Macaca fascicularis: one gene and its partners. The protein of the gene in region 4 interacts with the protein of the main gene of each other region in a pairwise test. Links are inferred from orthologs where the notes say so. Each region holds a gene or a part of one and is shown on either strand. Other genes may lie near its edges.

Region 1 (3,989 bases), on a different chromosome or scaffold from region 4:
CTGCCCTCCAGACGGATCAGCTGCCAGGGTGGCCCCGGCCATGTCAGCGCAGTAGGCGGTCAGGGCGCAGTTGGGGCAGCCGGCAGGGCAGAAGGGACGGGAGCTTGACCCGGGTTCTGATGGGCAGAGGGAGCCCGGGCAGGGGTGGGGGCAGCGTGCGGGCAGGCGAGGAGGGGAGAGAGCCAGGCAGTCAGGCAGAATTGAAGTGACTGGAGAAAAGCCGAAGGGCCGTGTCTGCCTGAGGCTGGAGACCACCCCAGGTCCACACAGTCCGCTGGGTGCCGGCACCGCTTGGAGCCGCAGGGAAAGCCAAGCACCGCTCTTTCTAGAGCCTTCTTTTTTTCCTATTGTTAGGGAATTCACGACGTCACACTTGTTTTCAAGTGAAAAGAGTTGTGTAGGCCACGAAAATCACGTGACTTGAAAGCTGACCCTGAGAGGCCTCAAAATAAATTCTGGTTTGCTGTGAAAGCCTCGGGTTATAGCGCTAAACTCCCCCCTCCACTGCCCCCCGAAAGTTTTATTCTCCTCTGCTTTTAGGGTGGGGTGTGGCGTAAACAACAGCTTGAGCAGCTCTGAGGGGGAGGGTGTTAGAGATCAGGCAGGTGGAGAAGGCAAGAGTTTTCAAGGATGTCGAAATAGTTTGAGGCGCCCCGTCCCATTATAAAAGTGATACGAGAGACAGCAAGAACGTGCTTCTGGACAGAAAACAGACTCTAAGGAAAGGCAGCCAGAGGTTCACGCTGGATCCTGCGGTCTTCCCTATCTGCGCCTCTGTGCCTCTCTTGCCCTTACAAGGCGCATGGATCAACTTTGGAACAGGTTCTAATTCCGCCCCAGATCCATCTGCGTCTTCCCACGCCTCAGAAATCTGACCTCAGGGCGCAAGCGCAGCCCCAGCCCTCCAAGCCTAGGTAGGCAGGGTTCTCCCATCCGAGAAAGGGCCGAGGGGAGGCTTCCGGGGCGGGACCGACGCGGCCCCTCCCACTCCGCGGGCGGTGGGTTCAGCCTGAACGTACTGCGGAGGCGGGGCCGACGAGGGATCCAGGGACGGGGCAGGTTCAGGCCCCTCCCATCAGGCGGCCAGGGCGAGCGGTAGAGGCGGGTCTGGAGGCGGGGCCTGCGTGGAGCCAGACGGCGCGGCTGCTGCCGGGGGCGGGGCCGACGGGCTGTGGCCCCGCCCTTGGCCGCCATTGCCGGGCCTGCCTGGCCGCCCTGCGCAGCGACCTTGCCTCCTCTTGCCCGGCGGAGCGGGTCAGCGGGCCTGACAGGGAGCCTTCCTGACCGAGCCCACGTCTCCCCACGGCCAGACAAGTCTCCGGCCCGGCCCGCGTCGCCAGTCCCCAGGCTTGGAGGAACGGCCCGAGCCCAGGAGAACCACATCTACGTCCCAGCCCCGGAGGCTCCTGTGGGCAAGATCGTGAGCCAACGGGTTCCTGAGGCCCCTCCTGGCCAGGCAGGGTTTCTCCGCGCGTTTCCGAGGAGCCCTGCCTGGCCGGGCGGCTGGACAAACAGGTCGTAGACCGATCGCGCCCGCCCCCAGCAGGGGTCCTGCACAGGCTTGTCCCTGACCCCCACCCAAACCCGTTCTTCCGCTTTCCCCCCAAACAGTGCACTTGCCGGCGGTCCCAACCCAGCAGGAGGAGAGTGGACATGAGGTTGGCAGGTGGGTGGCTTCCGCAGCGAACGGGAGGGAGTTGAAAAGGGCACCTGGATGGAGGCCCAGCGTCCCGACATCTGTGTCTGGAGAGGCGCGAGTGGACCACTGGGTTTGGTTTTGGAAATTTCGGAGGACTCTGTACACTCATTCCTTGACCTTAAGCAAATCCTTTCACCTCTGAGGACATCAGCTCCCCGAGCTATGACAGGAGGATTAGTATAGTCAGTATCTCCCAACGCAGGTAGTAGACCAGCTGCTTTTTGGAAAATGAGTGGTGAGAGAGAGGAGGTGGGGAGTCCAGGTGGAGAGGCGTGATCTTAGAGGGGAAGTGACAAAAGTGGCTGTGGGCTTCGACATGAACCCGATGACAGCCCTACTGTCACCTGGACAACTAAGATGAAGATCCTTGGGGAGGGATAGGTTGGGGCGGGGTGGAGAGTGGAAAGAACTCAGGAATTGAACTTCAGACTTGCTAAGGTGGTAACTTTGTGGACATATCCAAGTGGAGCTGGCCAGTGAGGAACCAGCTGGCAGGGAGTGGTTTCAAGAGAGGCCACAGCTGGAACTAGAAAATAGGAAGTCATTGACACATGGTGGTTAATTAAAGAGCTGGGAGTAGATGACATCATCTAAAAAGACACTACAGGCTGGGCGCGGTGACTCACACCTGTAATCCCAGCAGTTTGGGACGCCGAGGCGGGCAGATCACTTGAAGTCAGGAGTTTGAGACCAGCCTGGCCAACATGGTGAATCCCCATCTCTACTTAAAAAATACAAAAAAATTAGCAGGGCGTGGTGGTGGGTGCTTGTAATCCCAGCTACCGGGGAGGCTGAGGTTGCAGTGAGCCGAGATTGTGCCACTGCACACTCCAGCCTGGGCGACAGAGCAAGACTCCGTCTCAAAAAAATAAAAAGACAGCTGGGCGCAGTGGCTTACGCCTGTTATCTCAACACTTTGGGAGGCCAAAGCGGGTGGATCACCTGAGGTTAAGAGTTCAAGACCGGCCGGGCGCGGTGGCTCAAGCCTGTAATCTCAGCACTTTGGGAGGCCGAGACGGGCGGATCACGAGGTCAGGAGATCGAGACCATCCTGGCTAACACGGTGAAACCCCGTCTCTACTAAAAAATACAAAAAACTAGCCGGGCGAGGTGGCGGGCGCCTGTAGTCCCAGCTACTTGGGAGGCTGAGGCAGGAGAATGGCGTAAACCCGGGAGGCGGAGCTTGCAGTGAGCTGAGATCCGGCCACTGCACTCCAGCCCGGGCGACAGAGCGAGACTCCGTCTCAAAAAAAAAAAAAAAAAAAAAAAGTTCAAGACCAGCCAACATGGTGAAACCCCATCTCTACTAAAAATACAAAAATTAGGCCGGGCGCGGTGGCTCAAGCCTGTAATCCCAGCACTTTGGGAGGCCGAGACGGGCGGATCACGAGGTCAGGAGATCGAGACCATCCTGCCTAACACGATGAAACCCCGTCTCTACTAAAAAATACAAAAAAAAACTAGTCGGGCGAGGTGGCGGGCGCCTGTAGTCCCAGCTACTCGGGAGGCTGAGGCAGGAGAATGGCGTAAACCTGGGAGGCGGAGCTTGCAGTGAGCTGAGATCCAGCCACTGCACTCCAGCCTGGGCGACAGAGCGAGACTCCGTCTCAAAAAAAAAAAATACAAAAATTAGCCGGGCGTGTTGGCGGGTGCCTGTAATCCCAGCTGCTCGGGAGGCTGAGGCAGGAGAATCGCTTGAACCCAGGAGGCGAAGGTTGCAGTGAGCCGAGATTGTGCCATTGCATTCCAGCCTGGGGGACAAGAGCAAGACTCCATCTCAAAAAATTTAAAAAAAAAAAAGACACTACAGGTAGGGACCAGAAGGCAGCCTGAGATGGAAGCCTGGGAAAGTCCAGCTTTTAAGGGGAGGGTAGAGGAGACGATCTAACTAAGGAGAATGAGGAGTGTCCAGAGAGATCGGGTCGGGAGAGTGTGCTGTCCTGAAAGCCAGCAGAGAAGTGAGTGCTTCTGTGAGGAGGACATGGGCAGCCCACTGAGAGGTCAAGGAAGATGGGGGCTGACAGGTGACCAGGGGTGGTGACACCACAAAGGTCATCAGCGGCCTTGGCAACAAGCTGATTTGGTGGGGTGGTGGAAGCCAGGCCAGACTGGAGTAGGGTGGGAGGGAGTAGGAGGTGAGATGATGGAATGAGTATAGATGACTTTTGAGGGGGTTGACAGGGAAAAGAAAGGTTAGGGGAAAGAGGATGGGGATATGGTTTTGAAGAAGAGTGTTTGCTTTCTTAACATTGGAGATGTTGAAAATACAGGAGAAAGAGCGAGCTAGAGA
Region 2 (3,470 bases), about 62 Mb from region 4:
GCTCTTTGGACTGGGCCTGGCTTCCTGCCTCTCTTCTCCTCCCCTCTTGCCCCAGTGCACTCCTCAGCTTGGCCACCCTGAGCTGCTTTTCACTTTTCACACAAGCCAAATAATCTTTTTCCTCTGCACAGACTGCTCCTTCTTTCTTGGTGCCTGACTAGCCCTCACGCATTCTTCGGTGACTCAGTTTACACTCTTTTCTTCCAGAAACCTCTGCCTGGGCCCCAAGGCTGGGTGAGATAAGGCTCGATGCCCCTTATCAGTGCTCCTGTGACATACGCTACTTTCCCCAGCTGCAGGTGTTCGCTGGCACTGTCATTGCCCATTAGGTGCTTCTGCTACAGTATGAACTCTGCCAGGACAGAACTATGGCACTGGGTTCACAGCTGGATCCCCAGCACCAGACTGTGCCAAGAATGGAATATGTGCCTAAAAGATGGTCAGAGAATTCAGCAACGTTCCCTGAGAGTCATACAGTCTAGAAATACACAGAAGATCCAGACTAGATGCACATATAGATAGCCCTGGAAAGATAAGAAAGGTTAAAATGGATAATAAGGCTATTTGGTGGCTATGAAGCGTTTATTAGAGAGAGCAACTGGAGCCCCCAGCTCCACTCAGGGACGTCCTCTCAAATCCACCTCTGAAGATGCATGAGATAGAGGAGAGCTATTTACTGCACCTAGACTCCAGGCAATGAAAACGGGGTGAGGGTCGAGGGCAGGGATCTGAGGAGCCACATCAGGCCAGCCTTACCTTCATGTTGTCAGGGGGGTCTCCTTGGCCTGTAGTTGCACAAACAAATATCACCAGGGGCTCGTTAATCAGATTCACCTCAACAAAAAGACACACACACGTAAGACCTCCGGCTGTAAGGACTGGGCGTCCTTCCCAAAACTCGACCCCCTTCTCCTTCACTCAGGCTGACAGGGCAGAGGAATTTATGTGAGCGGCCAGACCGTCTTCTCTTTCAGGTTCCAACCTCCTCCAGGTGCTAAACTGAACTCCTCTTCCCAAGCCTCCCCTTTCCCTAAATCCGCCATAAGGGAAAGACCCGCTCTCAGAGATAATGCGACGCCTTTTGGGTCGATGACCCCGAGAAGCGGGCACGCCAGGCCTGTTTGTCCCCCACGCCGAGGCCCTAGCTAGCCCTCACCACCGGGTAGGAGTCCAGGGCCTGCACCCGGCAGCCAAGCCGCCGGCGCCGGGCCTCGCGACCCAGTCTCTCCGACACATCCTGAGCCGTGCCTGTCTGGCTGCCAAAGAGCACCAGAAACTGCGGGTTCGGCATCTGGATGCGCCCGGCTCCAGGTCGGAGACTAAGAACTAGAAGGCAGATCCCGCCGGCCGGGATACAGGGACCGCTCCACCTTCCGCCGTCGACCGGAAGTGACGCACTAGGGACGCGCCCGGTGGGGCATGGCGTCCGATCGAGGCGGGCGTCCACCGGCGGCCAGGGTTGAGTCCCGGGTCGGGGCCAGGGCATTGCCGGCGCACCAGGGCCGAGGGCTGGGGGTGGCGGGGCCGCTCTCTGCCTCTCGCTCGCAGCAGCGGCGGCAGGCGCGGGCGAGGGCCACGGGGAGAGGAGACGCAGCCCCGCGGGTGGCACGCTCGGCCGGGTCCCGGCCCGCGCTCAACGGGCGCGATGCTCTTCTCGCTCCGGGAGCTGGTGCAGTGGCTAGGCTTCGCCACCTTCGAGATCTTCGTGCACCTGCTGGCCCTGCTGGTGTTCTCTGTGCTGCTGGCACTGCGTGTGGATGGCCTGGTCCCGGGCCTCTCCTGGTGGAACGTGTTCGTGCCTTTCTTCGCCGCTGACGGGCTCAGCACCTACTTCACCACCATCGTGTCCGTGCGCCTCTTCCAGGATGGAGAGAAGCGGCTGGCGGTGCTCCGCCTTTTCTGGGTCCTCACGGTCCTGAGTCTCAAGTTCGTCTTCGAGATGCTGTTGTGCCAGAAGCTGGCGGAGCAGACTCGGGAGCTCTGGTTCGGCCTCATTACGTCCCCGGTCTTCATTCTCCTGCAGCTGCTCATGATCCGCGCCTGTCGGGTCAACTAGCCTCACCGAGGTGCCGGAGAGGGAGCGCTGGACGGCTAGAATGCTGACCTCAAGCCGAGGCCCCACTTGCGCCGCACCGGAGGAGAGGCTCTCTAGCCTAAAGGCAACTCCTGCTTGCGCCGAACTGAGTGCCCGGTTTTCCTATTTCAATCCTGCCTGAAATGGTTTCTTCAGCAGGGTTTAAAAGAGCAGCCTTCATCCTGAAAATGTATTTCTTTTTATTTAATGCTTTGAGTAGATAATCCTGAATTGAGGTCCTGAGGAGGCCCCCAGGCCAGGCAGTCCTGAACCCCTCTGACACTTGGAAGCTGAATATAAGTAAAATGTCCCGGTGGACTCTGAGTATTTCCTGTGGATCCTGGGAAAGTACTGTTGCACAGAGGCTGCAAAGCTGGACTCAGGAATGTCCTCCAACCAGCAGCGCTGACCTGAGAGCTCCCTGTGCCGTCCATCCAGACCAGACTTCGGTAGATGCCTTTGTTAGATCAAATGTAAACCAGCTTGTATCTCCCCTGTGCCACGAGAGATTGGCTTTTTATTCCAGTCTAGGCAGAGAGAGAAGAATGTTGAATAAGAGCACGATTAGGGTCCTGTCTGGTTATCTCTTGCCCACGAAAAGAGCTCTGCTGTCCAGGCACTGCTTGGTTTCCTATCCCAGCGAAGACTGCAGTTCCGTGGACCTTTTCACCACCTTGTGGCTGGCACTCTTAGCACACCTGAGACAGATTTAAGCCTCCCTGAGAGACTGAAGAGAGGAACAGGTGTCGGATACTCATAGGCACTGAGACCTACAAATGGGAAACTTGTGAGTGGCCCAGCTTTGTTGGCCTATGAACTTTGGTTTGATGCCAGTCAGGTGCCAAATGAGAACCTTTGCTGAGATGCAAATAAAGTAAGAGAATGTTTTCCTGAAATGAATAGTGGTTGCCTGTACCCCTCAAAGGTTAAATGTGATGAATATTGAGATACTCTCTGCTGCATGGTGTAACTGGTTACAGAGCTGCAGTTTCAGATGGGTTGAAACCTGTGGCTAGAGCTTAGTGGATGGTGGTGGTGGTGGGAATCACTCGTTCTGGAGAATCCCTCCTTCCTGCTCTAGGAGGCCGGTAACTCAGGCACCCGCCCCACCCTGTGTGAAGACAACAGTCTAGGCTCACGTTGAAGACCCGTTGAATAGTTTGTGACCCCAGAGCCCGTGACTTCTTGCCAGTGTGTGGTATTGTGTGGGCCTTGGCACTCTGTAGCGCGGGGATCAGCAAACAATGTCCTAAGGCCTGTTTTTGTGTGACCCTTGAGCTGAGGATGGTTTTTACACCCCTAAATAATTAAAAGTAGGCCGGGTGCGGTGGCTCACGCCTGTAATCCCAGCACTTTGGGAGGCTGAGGAGGGCGGATCACGAGGTCAGGAGATCGA
Region 3 (4,197 bases), on a different chromosome or scaffold from region 4:
AGATGGGGTTTCACCATGTTGGCCAGGATGGTCTTGATCTCTTGACTTCATGATCTGCCCACCTGAGCCTCCCAAAGTGCTGGGATTACAGGCGTGAGCCACCGCGCCCGGGCTTCTCTTGTGCTTTCTTCTAAAAGTTTTATATAGTCATAGTAGCACCTTATAAGTGTGCTGGATTAAATGCAGAAATGTATGTAAAGCCCTTAGAACAAGGCCTGGTAAAGACTAAACAATCAACTGAGTCTTAGATGGATATTGCCTATGTAATGTTTATAAGGAACACCCTCAGGCCCAGCACACATTTCCTCCACACAGATATTGTGTCCTGTCATCACAGAATGGCAGGATGCTAGAGAAGCAAAAGCCTCTACCCATATCCTCATCCAGCCTGCTCCTGGAACCAGTGAAGGTAACTGAAGACATAGAGAGGCCACAGAGCTACAGGGCAGCAGGAGAGCCAGCCCTGGAAGGTGGCCCTTCCCCTGCAGGGAGCACTCCTCCATCTAGCCTCTGTTTCCGTGAAACCTGGAGGTCTAGCCCAAGCTATGATGGGCTGATGGGGACTAGGCTCTGTTTACTGAGCACCTACTGTATGCCAGGCCCTTGGGTAAGGCACTGAATAAGTTAGACAACACCTGGGCCTCGGGAGCTCACGGACTAGCAGAGGAAGAGGCCATGAACAAACGATTGCGTAATTAATTGATGGATTCAGGAAAGGGGCAACGTTCTGGGGTAGGAGGGGATGGGGAAGAGGAAGTCTCAGCTGCCGCCTCTGTGCCAGGCCCCTCCAGGCTGGGGGTGGGAGGGTGCGCGGGCACAGGGACACAGATGACGTCATCGTAAGAGGCAGGGGAAAGGTGGTCCTGGGAGGTGGGGGCTGCTCTGGAGGGCTCTAAGAGGGTCATTCACTCGTGGTTCATTCATTCATTTGAGAAATACTCATGCGGCGCCTACTGTGTACCAAGCACCCCCTAAGAAGGACGAACACGGCTCCTGCCCTCTCACTATGTTTGGGGCCAAAGCGGCAGGAAACAGCCAAACAAATCAAGCATGAAGATGGTTTCAGCAGAGTCGACGGCTCGGAGGGGCTGCGACCGGGGCAGGGGACCGGGGATACGGAGCAGGGACACGGCCCGCACTTGATGCACACGCACCGCCCTCCCCCAACACTTTGCATGCAAAGAGGTCACCGCACTGGCTGCGAGCGCGCCCTGCGCCCCGGGCCGCCGCACGCGCGCCCCCGCGCCCGAGGTCGCGCGCCCGCCCAGCCCCCCGCCCGCGCCCCGCGAGCTGCGCCCGCCGCGCACGACGCCCCCTCGCGGGAGCCCTGGGCCGCCGGCCGCGCGCTCAGGGGAGGGGGCGGGGGCGCCGCGCACGCGCACGGGCCGGCGGCGCGCGCCGAGCGGGGGGCACCGCGCGGGTGCAGCCACGATGGAAGGGGGTGCGTACGGAGCGGGCAAAGCCGGGGGCGCCTTCGACCCCTATACCCTGGTCCGGCAGCCGCACACCATCCTGCGCGTCGTGTCTTGGGTAAGGACGGACTGGCCGGCGGCTCCGCCAGGCCGGGGTGGGGGTGTGGGCAAGGGCGGCGCGCCCGGACAGACCCGGACCCCACCGGGCCCCCGGCGGCGGCGCGGCGGCACGGCGGCTGGCGAGGAGCTGTCCTGCCTGCGGGGCCCGCTGCCGCTGCTCCTCCTTCCTGGGCCCCGGGCGGGCGGGAGCCCTGGCGCTCGCGGGAGACACCGCTCCCGCTCCCGGAGCCCTGGTTTCCTGGGGCCCCCGGTCCGTGCGCCCCCCTTCCCGCCCCGATTGCTGTGACCTCCAGGCGGCGGCTATGCAGCTAAAGGCTCGGATTGTGCGCGGCCGCCAGGGCGGACTGGGGACCGCGGGGACGGAGCCGGGGTTTAAGGTGGCCTTTTTAGAGGGTGGATCAGGGCGTGGACCATCTCGCTGGGGTGCACGCCGCGCCTGCGATGGACGTTGGAGGAGGAGAGGGTAGGGAACCGGGTTCGTATTGCCTAGCCCGGCCCGTGTGGAGCGATGAGTCGGGAGCTGGGTGCCTCTTTTCCACCCTGGAACTGCCTCTCCTTCTTGCGTGACCTTGGGAGCCACCCAGGAAATGTTCTCGAGAAATGAGGACTTCAATTCCAAGGTGGGGAGTGCCATCTCCTCTCTCATGCCTCAGTTTCCCGATTTATAGATAAGGTGGGAGGAGCCTTCTTGAGGCCCCCTTGGGCTCTGACATTTCATGAACCGGTAACACCCCTCCCACTCAGCATGCACCTGGATGCCCATGGCGGGTGTCTGGGAGAAAGGTCTGCTCCCACAGTGAAGAGGCCAGGGTGGCCTCCAGCCCAGCTGAGGGGCAGGGTCCTCAGTGCGGAGGGCTGAGTGGGACTCTTGTTCAGTCAGGTGGTCAGGGGAGGATGGGTCAGAGACAGGGAGCACAGAGGGAGGAGTTCAGGTGCCTTGAGTGTCACCCCATGGAAAGAAGCCCTGCTGGGGTCTGAAGAGGGGGTTCCTGGGGCTCCCTGGGGTTGGCTGGCTGTAACCCAGAAACCCCCACTCTAGGTTCTGGCCTCTCCAGGCCTGGGGCCCATTCCTGATGGGCTCAGACTAGAAGGGCTTGGACTGGGGATGCTGGGCAGGGGCACTGTCAGGGACCCCAGGGGCTACCCCAAGGCCAACTGTGACCTCAGGGTGCTCAAGCTCCCTCGTTTCCTTGGTTTTCAGGGTCTGGTTGGTAGGATGGCTTGGGTATGTATCCCTGGCCTGCCAAGGATGACCCCATTTAAAGCCTTTTCTTCTCAAATGCCATCAGATGGGAGCTCTTTGAGGGCAGGAAAGCCTAATTCCTTTAGCCTTTATGTCAGCACCTGCACAGAACCTGGCACCCCAGCACATCTGTGAGTGTTTGTGGCTCTGAATTCATTCATCTGTGCCAGTCTCCTGCTCCCCAGATGCCCCGACAGACCCTTGGCAAAGGTGGGAGCCCTGGGGGGCACCTGCCGGATCAGGCGGGTGGGCTGTGTTCACTGCTTCAGTCTGCCTGCCCCTGGGCCTCTGGCCTGGAAGGGCGAAGCCGCTGGCTTTGTGAGGGGGCGTGGACATTCTGTCTGTTTGGGTCATTTCTGCCTGTGATACCTTCATTTAGCAAAGCTTTATTGAATCTGCTGGTCCCTGAGGGAAGGCAGCGTGACTCAGAAGCAGCCCTTGTTCTCAGGAAGCCACCGTCACACTGGGAAGTGAGCCAGGTGCCCCTAGGCAGAGGCCACAAGAGCCAGGAGAGGGGTCTCCCTGCTGTGGAATCAAATTTCATGGTGAAGGTAATGTCAGATTGGGCCTGGTGGGATGAGGATTTACACGTGTGCACATCCAGGGGCGAGGACGTGGAAAGCAGGAGGAAGGATCAGCCCCTCTGAGCATCCGTGGGGTGCAAGACCACACATAGCCACCCAGCTGGTTCCCCAACACTAGAGGAAGCTGAGGCTCAGCAAGGCCAAGTGCCTGGCCCAAGGTCACTAAGCATGTAAGTGGCAGACGAGCATTTGAGCCTAGGTCTTCCTGTCTCCAAAGCATAGTTCTCCCCCTGGGACAGGGAAGAGTCCAGAATCCTGGAGTGTCAGGATTGGAAAGGACACAAAGGTCACGTGTGCCAACCAATGCTCAAACAACGCCACAACCTCCCAACCCTGCTCACACACGTGGATACAAGGCGCTCACTACTTTTGTCGAACCAAGAGATAGGCTGATTGACACCTTTAAAAGTAGCTTTTTTTCCTGATCAAAGTAACACCTGCCAATTATTGGAAAGTATAAAATTCACGTGTGATGGTTGCACGGTAGGAATGTACTTAACACCACTGAAATGGTGAAGATGGCAAATTGTATGTTACGTGTATTTTCCCACAACAGAAAAAGTTTGGTGGGGGGTGGTAATCATGTGATACCACCACTTAGGGAGGGCTGCAGTGAATATGGGGCTGTTTCCTTCTGGTCTTTTAGAGACGGTGTGGTGTGCTGAGCCATTTAAACACATCAGGAGCTGCGGGGGATGCAGCCGGTGCCTGCTCTTGGGCCTCACAACACAGGGCAGAGCAAGTGAAGACTGACCTCCAGGACTAGGGTGACCCGTTTATCCTGGTGTGCTGGAACTTCCTGCCTTTAGCATTCCAAGAGGCCCTCAATCCAGACAAA
Region 4 (4,166 bases):
CTTAAATTTCATCTGCTCAAGGCCAACTATGCTAGCCTCAATTACAACCCCTAAAGTTGCCCCAAATTCCTAACATTAACCCCACCTCTAATTTGTTTCCTGATTCCCACTACCGGCTTGGACATTCATCCCTTTCCCAGCAGAGACTCATATCCAATCCCTGATCCCTGATACTGATCTAAGTTTTACCTTTAGCACCAAATCGCCTGATGTTAACCCTAAATGTTGACCCCTAAGCCTAAAGTTCATTTGTAACTTGATTCCTAACTCACACTTTCACTGTTTATCCTTAATACCGACCATGTCAACATTCTTTAATCCCTCAAACAGGCTCTAACCTGATTCCTGTTGTTGACCCTTAACCCGACCCTGAACTCAAATTATGACGTATGATGGCCATCCCAGCAAACAAAATAATGACCTTAATCTAAACCTTACCTACCTAAAACGGACCTGACTCACACTACTAACTCTTAAGTTTTAACCCCAGCTTTTAACTCCTATAGCGACCCTTGATTCCTAAACGGACCCCACCTAATCCCCAACTCACCCAAAGCTTTCCTACCCACATGGCCGCTATCAGCTAACACCAAAGCCCGTCCCCGTCCTGCGCCCCGCTGCCACCCGACTCCTCACGCTCCCCAAAGCCTATCCCAGGCAGAGGACTGCCCCCAGGAGAGGCCTGTCTCCCCTAAGACGGCCTACTTCACGATGAGCCCAAGTTGAGATGCGCTGGACGCTGACCTCTCCAACTAACAGAACCCGAACCGGACACGCAGGAGAGGCAGGGCCCCGCCCGCCCCCGGGGCCAGGCTCCGCGGCCCCACCCTAAGGCCCCCGCCCGGCCCGGTCTGGCCTACCTGCGCTGCCCGGCTCTGCGCCCCGCCTGCCGGCCCGCCGGCCCGCTGCCCTGCCGCTTCTCGGGTCGCCCTCGGGCTCCGGCCTCGCCCTCCCTTCGACACTCTCTCGGCCACTTCCGTCCTGGGAACGTCCCCCACCCGCGGGCGGCGCCCTGGGGCAGCGCTCTATGGTCGCGGGGGGCAGGCAGGAAGCTGCTCTGGCCGCGTTCTCGATGCTCGGGGGCCGCCAAAGGCCGGCAGCCCCTCCCTGGCAGGAAGCGAGGGTGCGGCGCAATCCGGAGAGAACGCCAAGACGACGCCCGAGTTCCCTTTCAGGCCAGAACTCTTCCTTTTTCTAGCTTGGGGGAGAAGGCGGAGCCGGAGCCCTGGAACCCCCGCCCTCGGGGTGCGAGGCGGCAGCAGGGCCGTCCCCTACATTTGCATAGCCCCTGGGACGTGGCGCGGCACCCAGGCCTCTTCTCAGTTGGAGGGAACTCCAAGTCCCACAGTGCCACGGGGTGGGGTGCGTCACTTTCGCTGCGTTGGAGGCTGAGGAGAATTGAGCCTGGGAGGCGGGTCCGGAGAGGGCTACGGAAAGCCCCCGGCCGGGAAGCCCGGCCGTAGAGGGACAGTGGATAGGTGCCCGAGGCCTACAGCTGGCCTGGGGCTCGTGTCTGGGCTTCGGACGTTGGGGCCCGGTAGCCCACCCTTTCCGTAGTTGTCCCAAATGGAGCTGGAATTGGACGCTGGTGACCAAGACCTACTGGGCTTCCTGCTAGAGGAAAGTGGAGATTTGAGGACGGCGCCCGATGAGTCCGTGAGGGCCCCACTGGACTGGGAGCTGCCGCTTTCTGAGGTGCGTTGGGGTTCTGACTGGGGAAAGCGTGGGATGTCCATGAGGTCAGGGGATGGTGATAGGTCAAGGCCTGTTCACTGGAACCCTGCGCAGGTACCGAGCGACTGGGAGGTAGATGATTTGCTGAGCTCCCTGCTGAGTCCCCCAGCGTCGTCGTTGAACGTTCTCAGCAACTCCAACCCCTGCCTTGTCCACCATGACCACACCTACTCCCTCCCACGAGAACCTGTCTCTATGGATCTAGGTGAGTCTGAAATAAGTTTGCGGGGAGGACAGGGTTCATGGGCCTGGCTATTCATACGTTCCCTTTTGCAGAGAGTGAGAGCTGTAGAAAAGAGGGGACCCAGATGACTCCACAGCATATGGAGGAGCTGGCAGAGCAGGTACTTGACTTGATTTTCAGGAAGATTACTCTCACATTCCTCAGGTGGGGGCAGGATTCCCCATTCCTCTGTGACATCCCCATGCAACTGCCGCCCACTTTCTGGTTACCCTAGGATATTGTTAGGCTGGTACTGACAGATGAGGAGAAGAGTCTATTGGAGAAGGAGGGGCTTATTCTGCCTGAGACACTTCCTCTCACTAAGGTAAGACTCTCGTTAGTTGAGCAAAGGCTGAAAAGGGATTAAAAGTCTCAAGTAGGCCAATTCTGTTAACTTTATATCAATAACTTTAAAAAAGGATTGAGGTGAGAAACTTAGCAGATTTATTGCTAATAGGAAGTTGAGGCAGGTACCCAATATGCTAGATGCAAGGCAGATCCTCATTTTCGTTGGGCTTACACAAATTTTGGTGTTCTGTTAAAAAACAAACAAAAAAAAACCCTCAAAATTATCAGTGCAACATTAGTATTGGGCCTTGGAAAGGACTGTGTAAGTGAAGGGCCTTGACACTTCATTGGCTTCATAGTAATCCACCTCTTGCTGAATGGTAGAACTGTTTAGAGAGTTCAACACGATTGGACTAAGCAGTACATGAATAAATGCAAAATCCTTAGTTTCCAGTTTTAAGCAATCAGTGGCAACTTCACAAGCAGAGTACTGGGATACTATGATGAAATCAGTGCTCATTAATAGAAAGGTTCCAGGAATTTTTTTTTTTTTTTTTGACAAGGTCTTGTTCTGTTGCACAGGCTGGAGTGCAGTGATGTGATCATGGCACACTGCAGCCTTGAATTTCTGGGCTTAGGTGATTCTCCCACCTCAGCCTCCTGAGTAGCTGAGACTACAGGTGCACACCACCCTGCCCGGCAAATTTTTTTTTTGGTGTTTTTAGTAGAGATGGGGTTTTGCCTTGTTGCCAGGCTGGTCTTGAACGCCTGTGCTCAAGTGATCTACCCACCTTGGCCTCCAAAAGTAAAGAATTTTAATTCCTTCAAAGTACAAGATGAGTCAGCAGTGCGATGTGGCTACTAGGAAAGTTAATGGGATTTGGAAACTGTAGCAAGAGTTATTGTCTCCACAAGTCACTATCTTGCTTTCCTTTATACTGGCTAGAGCACATCTTTGACAGATACTAAGAAGATGCAGTCTATCCTAAGAAGATGAGTTAAAATTTTTGTCTAAGCTGTTTTTTTCTTGAACTTTTTTTCTCTGAGGAAATGTCAAATGCCTGAAAATAGCTTAACAGGGTTCATTCTATTTGGCCCCAGAGATACTAGGTAAGTCCAACGTATAGAAATTATAAGGAGACAGCTGTTGGTTCAGGATAAGGAAGTTTTTGTTTGAAGACAGATTCTTGCTTTACTGCCCAGGTTGGAGAATAGTGGTGAGATCATGGCTCACTACAGCTTTGACCTCTCAGGCTCAAGCGATTGTCCTTCCTCAGCCTCCTGAGGAGCAGGGACCACAGGCATGTGCCACCACACCCGGCTAATTTATTTTTAGTAGAGACAAGGTCTCACTGTGTTGCTCAGGCTGGTCTCAAACTCCTGGGCTCAAGCGGTCCTCCTGCCTTAGCTCCCCAAAGTGTTGGGATTACAGGCATGAGCCATGTCACTTGAATATTGCCTGACCAATTTTTTTTTTTAATAGTTTAAAATGGTCTGGCTTGTTAGGGTTAACACGTGCTCCGTGGAGGCATTCAGAAAGAATGTGAATGCCTATTGGTCAGGGAAGCTGTAGAAGGGATTTCTGTATTGGAAAGAGATGGATCTCAGTTGCCTTTCAACTTCTTGTTCTAGAGTCCCTCTAATGATACCCCTTTCCCTGTTTCCTTTCAGATGGAGGAACAAATTCTGAAACGTGTGCGGAGGAAGATTCGAAATAAAAGATCTGCTCAAGAGAGCCGCAGGAAAAAGAAGGTGTATGTTGGGGGTTTAGAGAGCAGGTATGAAAGGGAGAGGGACTCAGTTTTAAGTGTTAGGTTTTTGAAGGGAGGACACAGGCCATATCCCCATATCTTTGTTATTTCCCCCAGGGTCTTGAAATACACAGCCCAGAATATGGAGCTTCAGAACAAAGTACAGCTTC
Region 5 (4,013 bases), on a different chromosome or scaffold from region 4:
CCTGGGCACAGAAGATTGGAGAGCGCTCCTCCCTTAATTCCAGGGACCGAGCTCCAGCCCATCCAATTCTCTGTCTCACCTGAGGCTGCTGTGGCCCTGGTGACCCCCGGGAGCAACGTGCTGCCCATGGCTGGGATGGCTGGGGAGGGGGTGAAGCTGTCTCTTTAAGAGCAGGAACGGAGCCCCTGGGCCTTAGGGCATCTGACTTGTTTTCTACCTGCCCAGGTTTGCTCAGGGCGTGGCAGCTTCGGATAAAGGCAGGACTCCGCCTTGCAGCCCCGATTTCTCCCGGAACCTCTGCTCAGCCTGGTGAACCACACAGGTGAGCAGCTGGGGCCCCCTTCCTCCAAGCCCTCCTTGGCTCTGCCCCTAAACGAGGGAGTATCTACCTGCCCACTGACCCTGCCACACACAAGCTCTGCTGTTAAAGAGCCTAAAATCTTTGGAAATGTTTTTCTGGAGCCAGGAGATAGGAGAAAGTCCCTTCCCCTAATGTCCCTTTCCCCACCATTCTCCTCTCAGGGACTGGTTGAGCTGGCTGGGGTGAGGGCAGGACTGGTAAGTGTGGTTGGGGTGTCTGGGAAGACTGATGTCTGCATGGATTAGGGGTATCTGGGTTGGGGATATCTGGGTGGAAGAGAGGGGGGTGCCTGGGTAGGTAGGGGTATCTAAGTGGACCAGGTGTGCGTAGATGGACTGGGGACATCTGTGTGGATGAGGAGTGCTAGATGCACTCGGGGTGTCCAGGCACTGAGGGATGTGGATTCTGGAAACCTCCAGGAAAAGAGGACAGAGCTGTTGGGGAAGTTGTAAATACGGAGTTGCTTGGGAGATTTCAGGAGCACAGAGCGGGCAGGATCTTTCTGCCCGCCCCTGAACATGAGACATTTCTCCTACAGTATGGAGGAATAGAGGGGATAGCAGAGGGCAGGTGGGGCAAACAGTCCTCAGGCCGGCCTTGGGACCTCGTGGCCAGGAAGGATCAGGGCAGGTAGACAGAGCATCAGCTGCAGGGCTGCCTTCCTCTCTAACCTGCCCACCAACCACATTGGTCTGGGAGCAGTCCAGGGCCTCTTCAGCAATAGCCTGAATCAGGAATGTGAGGGCAGACCCAGCTCCCGGCTCCCTGCAGCCTCCAGAAACGTGGGGCTGGACATTGTTTTGCAGAAGCTGGGGCTGGGGCTGGGGCGAGGCAAATACCATCTGTTAGTCTTGGCTGGATGACATCATGGGAAGGGGGAATAGTGGGGCCTTGCAGGCCAGAGGTGGCTTGGAGGAGCCCCTGGAAAGAGGCTTAAGAGGTGAGACTCAACAGCCACGGCGACAGAGCATAGGGCTTTAAGATGAATTTGCAGGGGTTACAGGATTACAACTGCAATGTGTGCTAATAATAGTGCCCCCTACATTAAGCTGCAGAGATTGAGCAAATAAGTGGGAAGCTAAGGAAATGCCCCGTGGGGTAGACACTCAATAAACATCTGCTGCTGTTATCAGGACTCATATGGTTATGGGTGACAGCTTCAGACCACAGGCAGTCTACCTACAACCTGTGCCCCTATCCACCATGCCATCCTGCCCACCCACCCACACCAGGTCCCCCGACCCCCAACACTTTTGGGGATCTTAAACACTTCCTGGGTCTCAGTAATGCTCCCCAAAGTCTCAGGCTTTCTTCCCACAAAAAAAAAAAAAAAAAAAAAGGAAAAGAAATGGATGCTCAAACTAAAATTGTGAGTTCAGCATGTGGAATTAACTGGGAAGCTGAGAGGATTCCCAGGCCCTGGGGTGCGTAGGCAGAGGGAGGAGTCTGTGCCAACCTGCAGGGACCACCCGTTGGTTGTGGCGCCACCCTCTCTCAGCATTTTTGCTGTCCATGAAATTGCTGGGGGGTTGAGTGAGAACACAGCAAGGTCAGTGTGCACCCCAGGGCAAGGTGGAGGAAGTACCAGCTCTCGCTATCAAAATTATAACTAGACCAGGTGCGGTGGCTCACACCTGTAATCCCAGCACTTAGGGAGGCCCGGGTGGGTGGATCACCTGAGGTCAGGAGTTCGAGACCAACCTGGCCAACATGGTGAAATCCTGTCTCTACCAAAAATACAAAAATTAGCCAGGCATGGTGGCACACGTCTGTAGTCTCTGCTACTCGGGAGGCTGAGGCAGAAGAATTGCTTGAACCCAGGAGGCAGAAGTTGCAGTGAGCTGAGATTGTGCCATTGCACTCTAGCCTGGGCGACAGAGTGAAACTCCGCCTCAAAAAAAAGAGAAAAAATAAAAACAGTTATGATAACTATGCACTCAGCATTTGGGCAGGAACAGGGCAGGGGAGGGCATGCTTGGAGGCCCGGGCTTGGTGCAGCCTTGCAGGCTGGGAGGGCAGGACTGATGCCAGGTCAGGAAGGAGAGAGAAACAAGTTCCTTATGCTGAGCAGGTCTACCTGGGAAAGAAAGTGCTCTGCGGGGCCTAGGGTAGGGTCAGGGGCTGGGCTGGGGACTCAGGCTAGGCAGGGTCAGGGCTGGGACCGGGAAGGGCATGGGTGAGGGGTGAGGGGCAGGAGGTTCTGGGGAACAGAGATGGAGCTAGGGCTGCAGCCAGGCTGAGTTTGTCCCCCTCTACCCCCAGTCCCAGCCTCAAGTCAATTGCTCCACACACCCCGCCCTGAGCAGCTTGAAGAACCTGCTCAGTCCGCAGCCTGAAGTCTGCAATGTCCTGGCAGGGCCAGGCAGGCTCTGAGCCGTCTATGGAGACACCCCCGGGAAGCAGGCCTCCTGCCACCTGGCTCCCAGCACCTGGCTTCCCCAAACACCCCAAGGCCCTGACAGTCCTTAGTTAGGAGCAGCTGCTGGGGAGCCAGGCCTGGCTTAAATCCTGCTTCCTGGCTAGGGCACCTAGTTTCGCCTCCCAGAGCCTCAGTTTCCCCATCTGTCCAATGAGGACAACAGCGGGCAGTGGTGCCCTCATTTGGTTGCGGGGCGATTCACAGAAAGCCTGGTCCATGTCCAGTGAGTTATTATGGCTCCTCCCGCGTCAGGCCCGAGTTTCACCCAGTCCCCACTCCACGGCGCAGCTGCAGCTTATCTCTCAGCCCAGCGAGATGTCAGCCTTCTTGCCCTGGGTGAACTGCGCACCCTGCCTGGGGAGCAGGGGAGGAGGGTTGGGGAGCCATAGGCACAGGGCCAGCCTCCCAGTGGCTCTGCTAAGGCCGGACCTCCTGCCACCCCTCTAGGCCCGCGCTCTGACATGCAGAAGGTGACCCTGGGCCTGCTTGTGTTCCTGGTAGGTGAGTACCCATCCCCCAACTGCCTTTTCCTCTGGATCCCCTGGATGGGGGGCTGCCAAGCCTCTGTCTCTCTCCTGTGCTTTTCTACCACCCCAGGGAAGGTGGTAAATGTTAGAACAGCATCTCCTTGAGGGTAAGTAAAGTCAAACTAGTGATTGCCAGGGATACACAAGAAGAGCTGGCTCGCACAGCTGGAAAGTCACCATCTTCCCCATTCTCTCGCTCTTTCTTTCTTTTTTTTTTTTGAAAGGGAGTCTCTGTCACTCATGCTGGAGTACAATGGTGCAATCACAGTTCACTACAGCCTTGAACTCCTGGGGTCAAGCAATGCTACTCCCTTAGCCTTACACAGCTAGAACTCTAGGCACACACCACCAAGCCCAGCTCATTTTTAAATATTTTGCAGAGACGAGGTCTCACTGTATTGCCCAAGCTGATCTCAAACTTCTGGCTGAGTTTGATCCTCCCACCTCAGCCTTCCAAAGTGCTGGGATTACAGGCACGAGCCACACTGCACTGGCCTTGATTGACTATTAAACATAAATAATGGAAGCTAGAATACAATGAAATTACACCTTCAAAGCACTGAAATAAGATAACTGCCCAGCCAGTTCTCTTGTAAATTTTCCAAAAACTTCAAGTAGAAGGCTCAGCTCGGTGCGACTGCATCTTTAACTTCCAAACACTTTTCCTCTTTTTTCTTTCTTTCTTTTCTTTTCTTTTCTTTTTTTT
Region 6 (3,956 bases), on a different chromosome or scaffold from region 4:
GGCTCACGCCTGCAATCCCAACAGTTCAGGAGACAAAGGCGGGAGGATCACTTGAGCCCTGGGATTGGACCACGTTGGGCAACACGGCGAGACCCCGTCGCTACAAAAAATTTAAAAAACTACGCCACGCGCGGTGGCGCGCGCCTGTGGTCCCAGCTACTGGAGAGGCCGAGGGGAGCCACCACGCCCGCCTAATTTTTTTATTTCTGGGGAGAGACGGGGGCTCGCGACGTTGCCCAGGCTGGTCTCGAACTCTCAAGCTCAAGCGATCCTCCCACCTCAGCCTCCCAAAGCGCTGGGACTGCTGAGATTACAGGCGTGAGCCATCCCCACCTGGCCACAACTCTGTAGTTCGTACAAACCACCCTCTATGAAATTCAGACAATAACACACCAACGGCTGTCGCGAACATTTATTGGCAAACAAGGCGCCACGATAAGCATCCTACGGATACCAATTACTTCCTTCCCCCGACCAAGACTGACCCCTCGCCCGTACCCACCGCCCAGCGCCTCTTTTACCACATGCTTACGACAAGTTGTCACACTCGACTTTAAAAACCACCCACGGAAAAGCAAGCGCGATCACCCCTACCTCAACGCTGAGATACCGAGGCCCAGAGAGATCGGCAAAGTTGAGTTACCAGAGACAGAAAAGGCACCCACCCGGGTCCTTCCCTCCCCGCACCCCCAAATTCCACGAGCTTTCTGCGTAACGCCAGCAACCGGGACAACTTGCCGCTTCCCGACCCCCGGACACCGCGCAGTACTCGGGCTCCCCTCACTTGCGAACGTATTTCCGGGCTTCTTTCTCATCATAAAACTGCAAAAAAAAAGAAAAAGAAATGGCAGGTAGTGGAGGAATTCAGACGCGGCGGCCGTAGAAGTGGGAAGAGGGGTGTCCGCGGGCCCCGGAACTTACCAGCTCCGGTGGTCCACCGTGCTCCGGACGCCGGCCGCGAGACGCCATACTCACGCCTCAGCAGCACGCCTGCGAGTGGCGTTTCCCGGAACCCGGTTTTTATGTCATCAGCCCGGCGACCGCTTGTAATACGCATGCTCCACCCCTCCTCGCCCGCCCCCCTTACGTGATTGGCTACAGGGCGACCAACCGGCGCCTCTCATTGGCCAGTTTCTCTTGCACCGCCCGCCTAATCAATTCAAGATGGCAGCCATGCGCAGGGGATGGTGGCCGCGGCTGTTACCGTGGAGGTTGCTGCAAGCCCGTGGCTTTCCACTAAATTCTACACCCGGCCTGGGCCTGGGAGCGAGGACTTATTCTCAGGGCGACTGCTCGTACTCGCGCACGGCGCTCTATGATCTGCTCGGCGTCCCCTCCACAGCCACGCAGGCCCAAATCAAGGCGGCTTACTACCGTCAGTGCTTTCTCTACCACCCGGACCGCAACTCTGGGAGCGCGGAGGCTGCCGAGCGCTTCACGCGCGTCTCCCAGGCCTACGTGGTGCTGGGCAGTGCCACCCTCCGTCGTAAGTATGATCGCGGCCTCCTCAGCGACGAGGACCTGCGCGGACCCGGCGTCCGGCCCTCCAGGACGCCCGCACCCGACCCCGGCTCGCCGCGTCCCCCGCCGCCCACTTCTCAGACCTACTACGGTTCTCGGGCCGCCCCCGGCGCCAACCGCACGATGTTCAACTTTGACGCCTTCTACCAGGCCCACTACGGGGAACAACTGGAGCGGGAACGGCGCCTGAGGGCCCGGCGAGAGGCCCTTCGCAAAAGGCAGGAGAATGCGTCCCTGAAAGGCCTCCGCTGGGAGGAGACCCGAGACGTGGCTGCCATTTTCCTCGTCTTCTCAATCTTCATCATCATCGGCTTTTATATTTAATCGGAGAGAGGAGGGAAGGGGAGTGTCCCCAGCCAACCCCCCAAAAACGGCCTTTTTTCCTGCCTCTGAACCCTTGGCCATTGATAGTCTAACCTCTGCTGAGATCCGAAGGAACTGTACTCCCCCTGCCCTCCCTGACCCGCCCAGCTTAGCCGATGACCTGCACATCCCTTCACTATGGTCCAGAAAAGGAGGTCTCTCGACGTTTAAGAAAAAGACCCCACGCTGAAGAGTCCCGAAAGCCCAGGAGTTAAGGGGTTCCTGGAGTCTCTAGGGTACTTCTTCCAGAGTTTGTCTTCCTGCTTCCAGATGTAGTCAACTTCTGGAACACTCGCTGTAGCTTTATTGTAAAGCTCCGAGCAAGATTTATCTGCTCCTGCCCCGCGTGTGTACGGTGGGCCTCCTCTGTAACCTTGAAATATGCAATGTGACCAATTGTTGGCTGCCAAAAGAAAAGGTCCGGGGTTATACGAAACTTGTCTTTCTGTGAGTTCCCCAAGCCGCAGGTGAGACCTGGTACAGGTTAAGAATGGGATCAGTGGAGAGCCTGCCATTCCTTCAGCTAAGGTCAGGCCCCTGGGGCGCTCCCCCTTCTGTTGATAGCATGTGGGAGTGAGAAAACAAAGTCATTGAGCATAAGGAATGAGTGTTTCTGTGCCCGTATTTAAGGTGTGACCTTGGAGAAGTTACTCTGTGGGCATGACAGCAGAGGAGAAAATCATTTGGCATCTTAAGGTCTGTCATGCTTTATTATCCATAGTTTTTGGGGTTTGTTTTGTTTTGTTTTGTTTTGTTTCTGAGGTGGAGTCTTGCGCTCTGTTGCCTAGGCTAGAGTGAAGTGGTGCGATCTTAGCTCACTGCAACCTCCACCTCCCAGGTTCAAGTGATTGTCCTGCCTCAGCCTCCTGACTGTGTAGCTGGGATTACAGGCTCCCGCCACCACACCTGGTTAGTTTTTTGTTATTTTTAGTAGATACAGGTTTCACCATCTTGGCCAGACTGGTCTCGAACTGCTGACCTCAGGCTGTCTACCCGCCCAGCCTCCCAGAGTGCTGGGATTGCAGGCATGAGCCACCGCGCCTGGCCTATTAGCCATGGTTCTAATCCATAGGGATTACAGCATGATGCTAGCAGGGCCAGGTTCATCCTTGGGACAGTGTGGCTGTCACCTGGCTCTCCCTTTACCAGCCAGCCCCATTGCGCACTGTGCAGCCCCTCCCCTCCCAGAAACAGAGTGACAAACTCCGCGCTTGAGTCCGTGTTCCTGTTTAACCTGCAATGCTTTTATCACAGGCCCTTTCTTAATTTTTTAGACGAGGCTGCTTGAGGCTGCAGTAAACTTTGGGGCTTTGGGAGTACACAGGACTACTGAGGGACAGGGGCTTGGTGTTTAAGGTGGAGACTTGGTTCTTAACGCAGAGCTGGCTAAAGGTGTGTTGTTTTTTCCGCTCTGTTTCTAATTCATGTTAAGTAGTTGGTCATCACTTTGGTCAGAGCTGCTGCTGTAGCTCTCTTAACTGTGAGTCACTGGATGTCAGCAGTGAGTTGGCTGTGAGATTGTAGGTGCTCAAGTGTTTATGCACCGGACTGAGTGTAAATCTGTAAAAGGGGAAAATCCTCGCAAGAGGTCTATGAGAAGGATGAGGGCCCAAGTCTAGGGTCTAAACAAAGCTAGGAGTGGTTTGGTATATTACTGAGTGCAATAATTGCATGCAATTCCTGCACTCAATATATTGTGTAAAATCCTCAGGTAGAATGGGATAAACCCACAGCTGGTCCTACTTAGCCTCTTGAAAACTATTCCATCGTGCCAATCTCTATCCGGAAAAGGAAAAAAAAAAAAAAAAAAAGGAAAACCATTCAATTATCTCTTGCCTTGGAGGTTGGGGTATGCTCCTAGTCAGGGCTTTGCAGCGACCATATGATGCAATAGTGAAGATCTGGGGCCTGGCACAACACTTTGGGAGGCTGAGGCGGGTGGATCGCTTGACCTCAGGAGTTGGAGACCAGCCTGGGCAGCACAGCAAAACCCCACCTCTACAAAAATCACGAAAATTAGCCGGGTGTGGCAAGTGCCTGTAGTCCCAGGTGCTCAGGAGGCTAAAGTGGGA
Region 7 (3,500 bases), on a different chromosome or scaffold from region 4:
CCCTGCCGATTTAGCACGCCCAACAGAAAGAGGGAGTGTCTGATGCCTCATCACACCAGCTTAGGTCGTAAACCTTTACTGGATCCTATTGCTGTGGCTGGGGGCTGGGATGAGCAACTTGGTCAGTTCTTGATCACTGAAGCAGGAGGGTGGGTGGTCCCACACAGATCACATGAGCGGAGGTAGGAGCAGGGGATTGGGATGCTGTAACGAGGAAATTAGAGAAGGAATATGGGAAGACGTGAATATCAAATGTCCACTTGGCTTCATCTCTTGCAGGACCTGGTGGACTGGCAAAAGCCTCTCCTGTGGCAGGTGGGCCACTTGGGAGAGAAGTACGATGAGTGGGTTCACCAGCCGGTGACCAGGCCCATCCGCCTCTTCCACTCAGACCTCATTGAGGGCCTCTCTAAGACTGTCTGGTGAGCTCTTCCCTGAGCCTGTGGCAGGCTTCCCTTCTCTTCTGATTGTGCCAATCAGATATGGAAAGGGAAGGGGCAATTGGGTCCCTCCCTAGAGCCCAGGTCTATGCTGTAAAGCTCTCAGGGAGGGAGGAACACACGATGGGAATAATTCATCCCTATGCATCGTTTTGCCCACTGGGTGGGTCACAACCCAACATGTAGCCAGAAACTACGTTGAATGTCACTCCTGGTCTATTCCAGACTCTTAAGAGGAGTTTCTTGCCCCTAGTGCACATGGAAACAATTTTGCCTGCAATTAGCTCCTCTGCCACAAGAGGTCAGCGTCTGTGTATTTGCATAGAGTCAGTAGCGCTGGGGACACAGTTCTTTTCTGCCAATAATTCATCTCAGAGACAGGAGGCAGATGGACTCACAGCCTCTCTCCTCTTTTCTCTTCCCCACTCCCTGTACCAGTGTCCCTTTGACCCCAGGTCTCCATAGGCATTCTGCATATGCTTTGCTGTCATCTTGTCCCCCCTCCAGTTGAGTTATATTTCTCTAAGAAAGCTGGACCCTGCCAGGCACAGTGTCTCACGCCTGTAATCCCATCACTTTGGGAGGCCAAGGCGGGTGGATCACCTGAGGTCTGGAGTTCGAGACCAGCCTGACAACATGGTGAAACCCCATCTCTACTAAAAATACAAAATTAGCTGGGTGTGGTGGCACATTCCTGTAATCCCGGCTACTTGGGAGGCTGAGGCAGGAGAATCACTTGAACCCAGGAGGCAGAGGTTGCAGTGAGCCAAGATCACGCCATTGCACTCCAGCCTGGGCCACAAGAGTGAAACTCCATCTCAAAAAAAAAAAAAAAAAAGAAAGCTGGACCCTGTCAAGCTCCTGTATGTGTATCTCTCTCACCCTGACGGCCTTCCTACAGGTACAGTGTCCCCATCATCTGGGTGCCCCTGGTGCTGTACCTCAGCTGGTCCTACTACCGAACCTTTGCCCAGGGGAACGTCCGACTCTTCACGTCATTTACAACAGGTAATGCCAGGTTCTTTCCTGACTTGCCCTGAGGATCCTAAAGGAAGGAGACCTCAGTGCTTTCCCTAGCCCAGAGTTTCTGAGAGCATAGAACCCCAAACCACATCACAGACATTTTTTGGTGAAGCCTCTCTGTAGAAATAGTCTTCCAAAGAAGAATTTTGTCAGACTCCCATCTACCCCCACAAATGGATACAAAACCCAAAAACACATCAGCAAAAACTAAATGGAATCATCAGGTGGCATAGAAATAAAAAAAAAAAAGAGGGAGACAAAGAGTGCTTCTCATTGAGTGTCACACCAAAAAATGCATGATCTGGGATTCTTTGCTAAGAAACTAAATGAAATCACTTTGTCAGGTGACACAGCTGAGAGCTAGACTCAGACTGGCCTGTGAACCGAGCACAGATTAGCAGAGAACTTGGGAGAGAAAGATCTGAGAGTGTCCTAGAGTGTGTCCAAGGCAAAGGTTCAGGCAGCGGACCCCCAGACTGGGAGTAACAGCGCACTAACCTCTATGGGACACTTGCCATGTGCAGGGCCATGTGCTCTCCCAGGACTGCCTCATTTACCCCTCCCAGCAGCCCCATAAGAAGGGTCCTGTCATTATCCCTTTTTAGAACTGAGGAAATGGAGCCTCAGATATATCAAGGGAGTAGGTGAAGGTCATGTGGCTAGGATGTGGATACCAGGTGCACCCCAGCTTCTAGCTGGGTCTTTCAGGATGACTGTGGGTTTAGGTATGGCCACTGGGACAGCCAGCCTGGCAAGCACCTTGCCTACCTTGGGCCTCCAGGTACATGCCACCTGCCCTGTGGTCTGTCTGTCCTGGCTATGAGCTTCCTGAGCTGCCCTCACTCTGCCAGGGGCACCTCTTTTCCCCGCAGTCCGCAAGTCAAGTGCCTGAATGGTTGAGATGAGAGGGGCCGCGGTCATGGCACCAGGAGCTTCTTTTATCCACCTGAGTCAAGGCTGAGCAAGTTGCAGAAAGTTCCCCCAGATCCAGCCCAGAGCTGCCCCTGGTCACCGAGGGTTACTGCGGGCATCTCTCGAGCCATGGTTGTCCTGTTCTGCCCACGCTGAATAGCTCAGGCACAGCACAGGGCTTGTTGCTCAGAAGTCCTGCTCGCTGAATCACCCACTGTCTGCCCAACACTCCCCTAACAATCACAAACAGTGGCAGGGCCGCCAGGGCTGGCAGCCGGAGGGGGAAGGGGACGCTGAAGCTTTGGCCCAGGTCCCTCTGCCGGATTCCTCCAGAGATGCCACTCAGTACCAGCTCCGGCCGGATGGGCAGACAGGGGTGATGCTGGGGTGAGGGGGCGGGCAGAGGCTTGACCTATAGGAGAGGACTTTCCTGTGAGGCAAGGAGGATGATTTGACGGCTCTGTCAGCCACACGGCCTCGGCAGAGAGCTAAAATGTGCCTGTCTTATAAAGGTCCAGTGTAGAGGGTTAGTAAGCCTGTGACCACGACGCCAGGGACGGGGGCATGAGAGATATGTCTCCACGTGCCTCCTTCAGCCCCCAGCTTGTCATGCAAGGCACAAGCCGCAGGCAGAGAAAATAAGAGCTCACAAAGCAAGGCAAGGAGAGGCTCGGCGGGGTCCCAGTGCAGCTGCTAGACAAAGGACACGCTGGAATCAATACAGAAGAGTCAGGGTGCCAAGAAGCAGTGGAAGCTGAACGAAGACACCAGTTCAAGGCTGACATTCCTAGATGCGCACGTGAAAATGCTTTCAAAAGCCGGGAGGACAGGGGAGAGGGGGCAGTGCTGCATACTCAGGATGGCTCCAGAGCAGCTTCTGAGAGCATGTTAGAGCGAGCAGCATCCCGGAGAGGAGGGGCAGGCAGGCCTCTGGTGGGGTGGTGTGCAGGGCCCGACAGAGGCCAGGACCTGAGTCTGTGCCAGAGTGCTCCTGTGTGTCCAGTCCTTTCCTTACCAATAAGAGAGCTAAGGCCGGGCACGGTAGCTCACGCCTATAATCTCAGCACTTTGGGAGACCTAGGCGGGTGGATCACCTGAGGTCAGGAGTTTGAAACAAGCCTGGCC

The links.
Region 1: the proteins of CREB3 (region 4) and FAM3A interact in a two-hybrid assay, tested with the Homo sapiens proteins (2 studies listed by BioGRID and IntAct). The two-hybrid records come from large-scale screens. The link is inferred for Macaca fascicularis from reciprocal best matches to the Homo sapiens genes CREB3 and FAM3A.
Region 2: the proteins of CREB3 (region 4) and TMEM203 interact in a two-hybrid assay, tested with the Homo sapiens proteins (2 studies listed by BioGRID and IntAct). The two-hybrid records come from large-scale screens. The link is inferred for Macaca fascicularis from reciprocal best matches to the Homo sapiens genes CREB3 and TMEM203.
Region 3: the proteins of CREB3 (region 4) and SYNGR1 interact in binary tests that used the Homo sapiens proteins (3 or more experiments, as listed by UniProt). The two-hybrid records come from large-scale screens. The link is inferred for Macaca fascicularis from reciprocal best matches to the Homo sapiens genes CREB3 and SYNGR1.
Region 5: the proteins of CREB3 (region 4) and FXYD3 interact in a two-hybrid assay, tested with the Homo sapiens proteins (2 studies listed by BioGRID and IntAct). The two-hybrid records come from large-scale screens. The link is inferred for Macaca fascicularis from reciprocal best matches to the Homo sapiens genes CREB3 and FXYD3.
Region 6: the proteins of CREB3 (region 4) and DNAJC30 interact in a two-hybrid assay, tested with the Homo sapiens proteins (2 studies listed by BioGRID and IntAct). The two-hybrid records come from large-scale screens. The link is inferred for Macaca fascicularis from reciprocal best matches to the Homo sapiens genes CREB3 and DNAJC30.
Region 7: the proteins of CREB3 (region 4) and FA2H interact in a two-hybrid assay, tested with the Homo sapiens proteins (2 studies listed by BioGRID and IntAct). The two-hybrid records come from large-scale screens. The link is inferred for Macaca fascicularis from reciprocal best matches to the Homo sapiens genes CREB3 and FA2H.

What each region holds. Positions count from the first base shown.
Region 1 is NC_088395.1:160,512,498-160,516,486, reverse strand, and holds the start of FAM3A (protein FAM3A), read left to right. Parts: upstream 1-1,189; 5' UTR 1,190-1,515; exon of another isoform or gene 1,516-1,611; 5' UTR 1,612-1,653; coding exon 1,654-1,666; intron 1,667-3,989. UniProt on the Homo sapiens protein: May act as a defensin against invading fungal microorganisms.
Region 2 is NC_088389.1:2,111,205-2,114,674, forward strand, and holds TMEM203 (transmembrane protein 203), read left to right. Parts: upstream 1-1,411; 5' UTR 1,412-1,645; coding exon 1,646-2,056; 3' UTR 2,057-2,970; downstream 2,971-3,470. Other genes in the region: NDOR1 (NADPH-dependent diflavin oxidoreductase 1), read right to left, coding at 757-834, 1,157-1,291. UniProt on the Homo sapiens protein: Involved in the regulation of cellular calcium homeotasis. Required for spermatogenesis. Acts as a regulator of STING-mediated inflammatory signaling in macrophages.
Region 3 is NC_088384.1:12,305,232-12,309,428, reverse strand, and holds the start of SYNGR1 (synaptogyrin-1), read left to right. Parts: upstream 1-1,397; 5' UTR 1,398-1,431; coding exon 1,432-1,530; intron 1,531-4,197. UniProt on the Homo sapiens protein: May play a role in regulated exocytosis. Modulates the localization of synaptophysin/SYP into synaptic-like microvesicles and may therefore play a role in synaptic-like microvesicle formation and/or maturation.
Region 4 is NC_088389.1:63,665,254-63,669,419, reverse strand, and holds the start of CREB3 (cyclic AMP-responsive element-binding protein 3), read left to right. Parts: upstream 1-1,366; 5' UTR 1,367-1,566; coding exon 1,567-1,695; intron 1,696-1,788; coding exon 1,789-1,939; intron 1,940-2,010; coding exon 2,011-2,078; intron 2,079-2,192; coding exon 2,193-2,282; intron 2,283-3,916; coding exon 3,917-4,023; intron 4,024-4,113; coding exon 4,114-4,166. UniProt on the Homo sapiens protein: Endoplasmic reticulum (ER)-bound sequence-specific transcription factor that directly binds DNA and activates transcription. Plays a role in the unfolded protein response (UPR), promoting cell survival versus ER stress-induced apoptotic cell death.
Region 5 is NC_088393.1:42,357,637-42,361,649, forward strand, and holds the start of FXYD3 (FXYD domain-containing ion transport regulator 3), read left to right. Parts: upstream 1-1,213; 5' UTR 1,214-1,228; coding exon 1,229-1,301; intron 1,302-3,032; coding exon 3,033-3,116; intron 3,117-3,227; coding exon 3,228-3,281; intron 3,282-4,013. UniProt on the Homo sapiens protein: Associates with and regulates the activity of the sodium/potassium-transporting ATPase (NKA) which transports Na(+) out of the cell and K(+) into the cell.
Region 6 is NC_088377.1:52,553,295-52,557,250, reverse strand, and holds the start of DNAJC30 (dnaJ homolog subfamily C member 30, mitochondrial), read left to right. Parts: upstream 1-1,156; 5' UTR 1,157-1,164; coding exon 1,165-1,845; 3' UTR 1,846-3,956. Other genes in the region: BUD23 (18S rRNA (guanine-N(7))-methyltransferase), read right to left, coding at 688-818. UniProt on the Homo sapiens protein: Mitochondrial protein enriched in neurons that acts as a regulator of mitochondrial respiration. Associates with the ATP synthase complex and facilitates ATP synthesis.
Region 7 is NC_088394.1:70,536,543-70,540,042, reverse strand, and holds part of FA2H (fatty acid 2-hydroxylase), read left to right. Parts: intron 1-279; coding exon 280-422; intron 423-1,341; coding exon 1,342-1,448; intron 1,449-3,500. UniProt on the Homo sapiens protein: Catalyzes the hydroxylation of free fatty acids at the C-2 position to produce 2-hydroxy fatty acids, which are building blocks of sphingolipids and glycosphingolipids common in neural tissue and epidermis.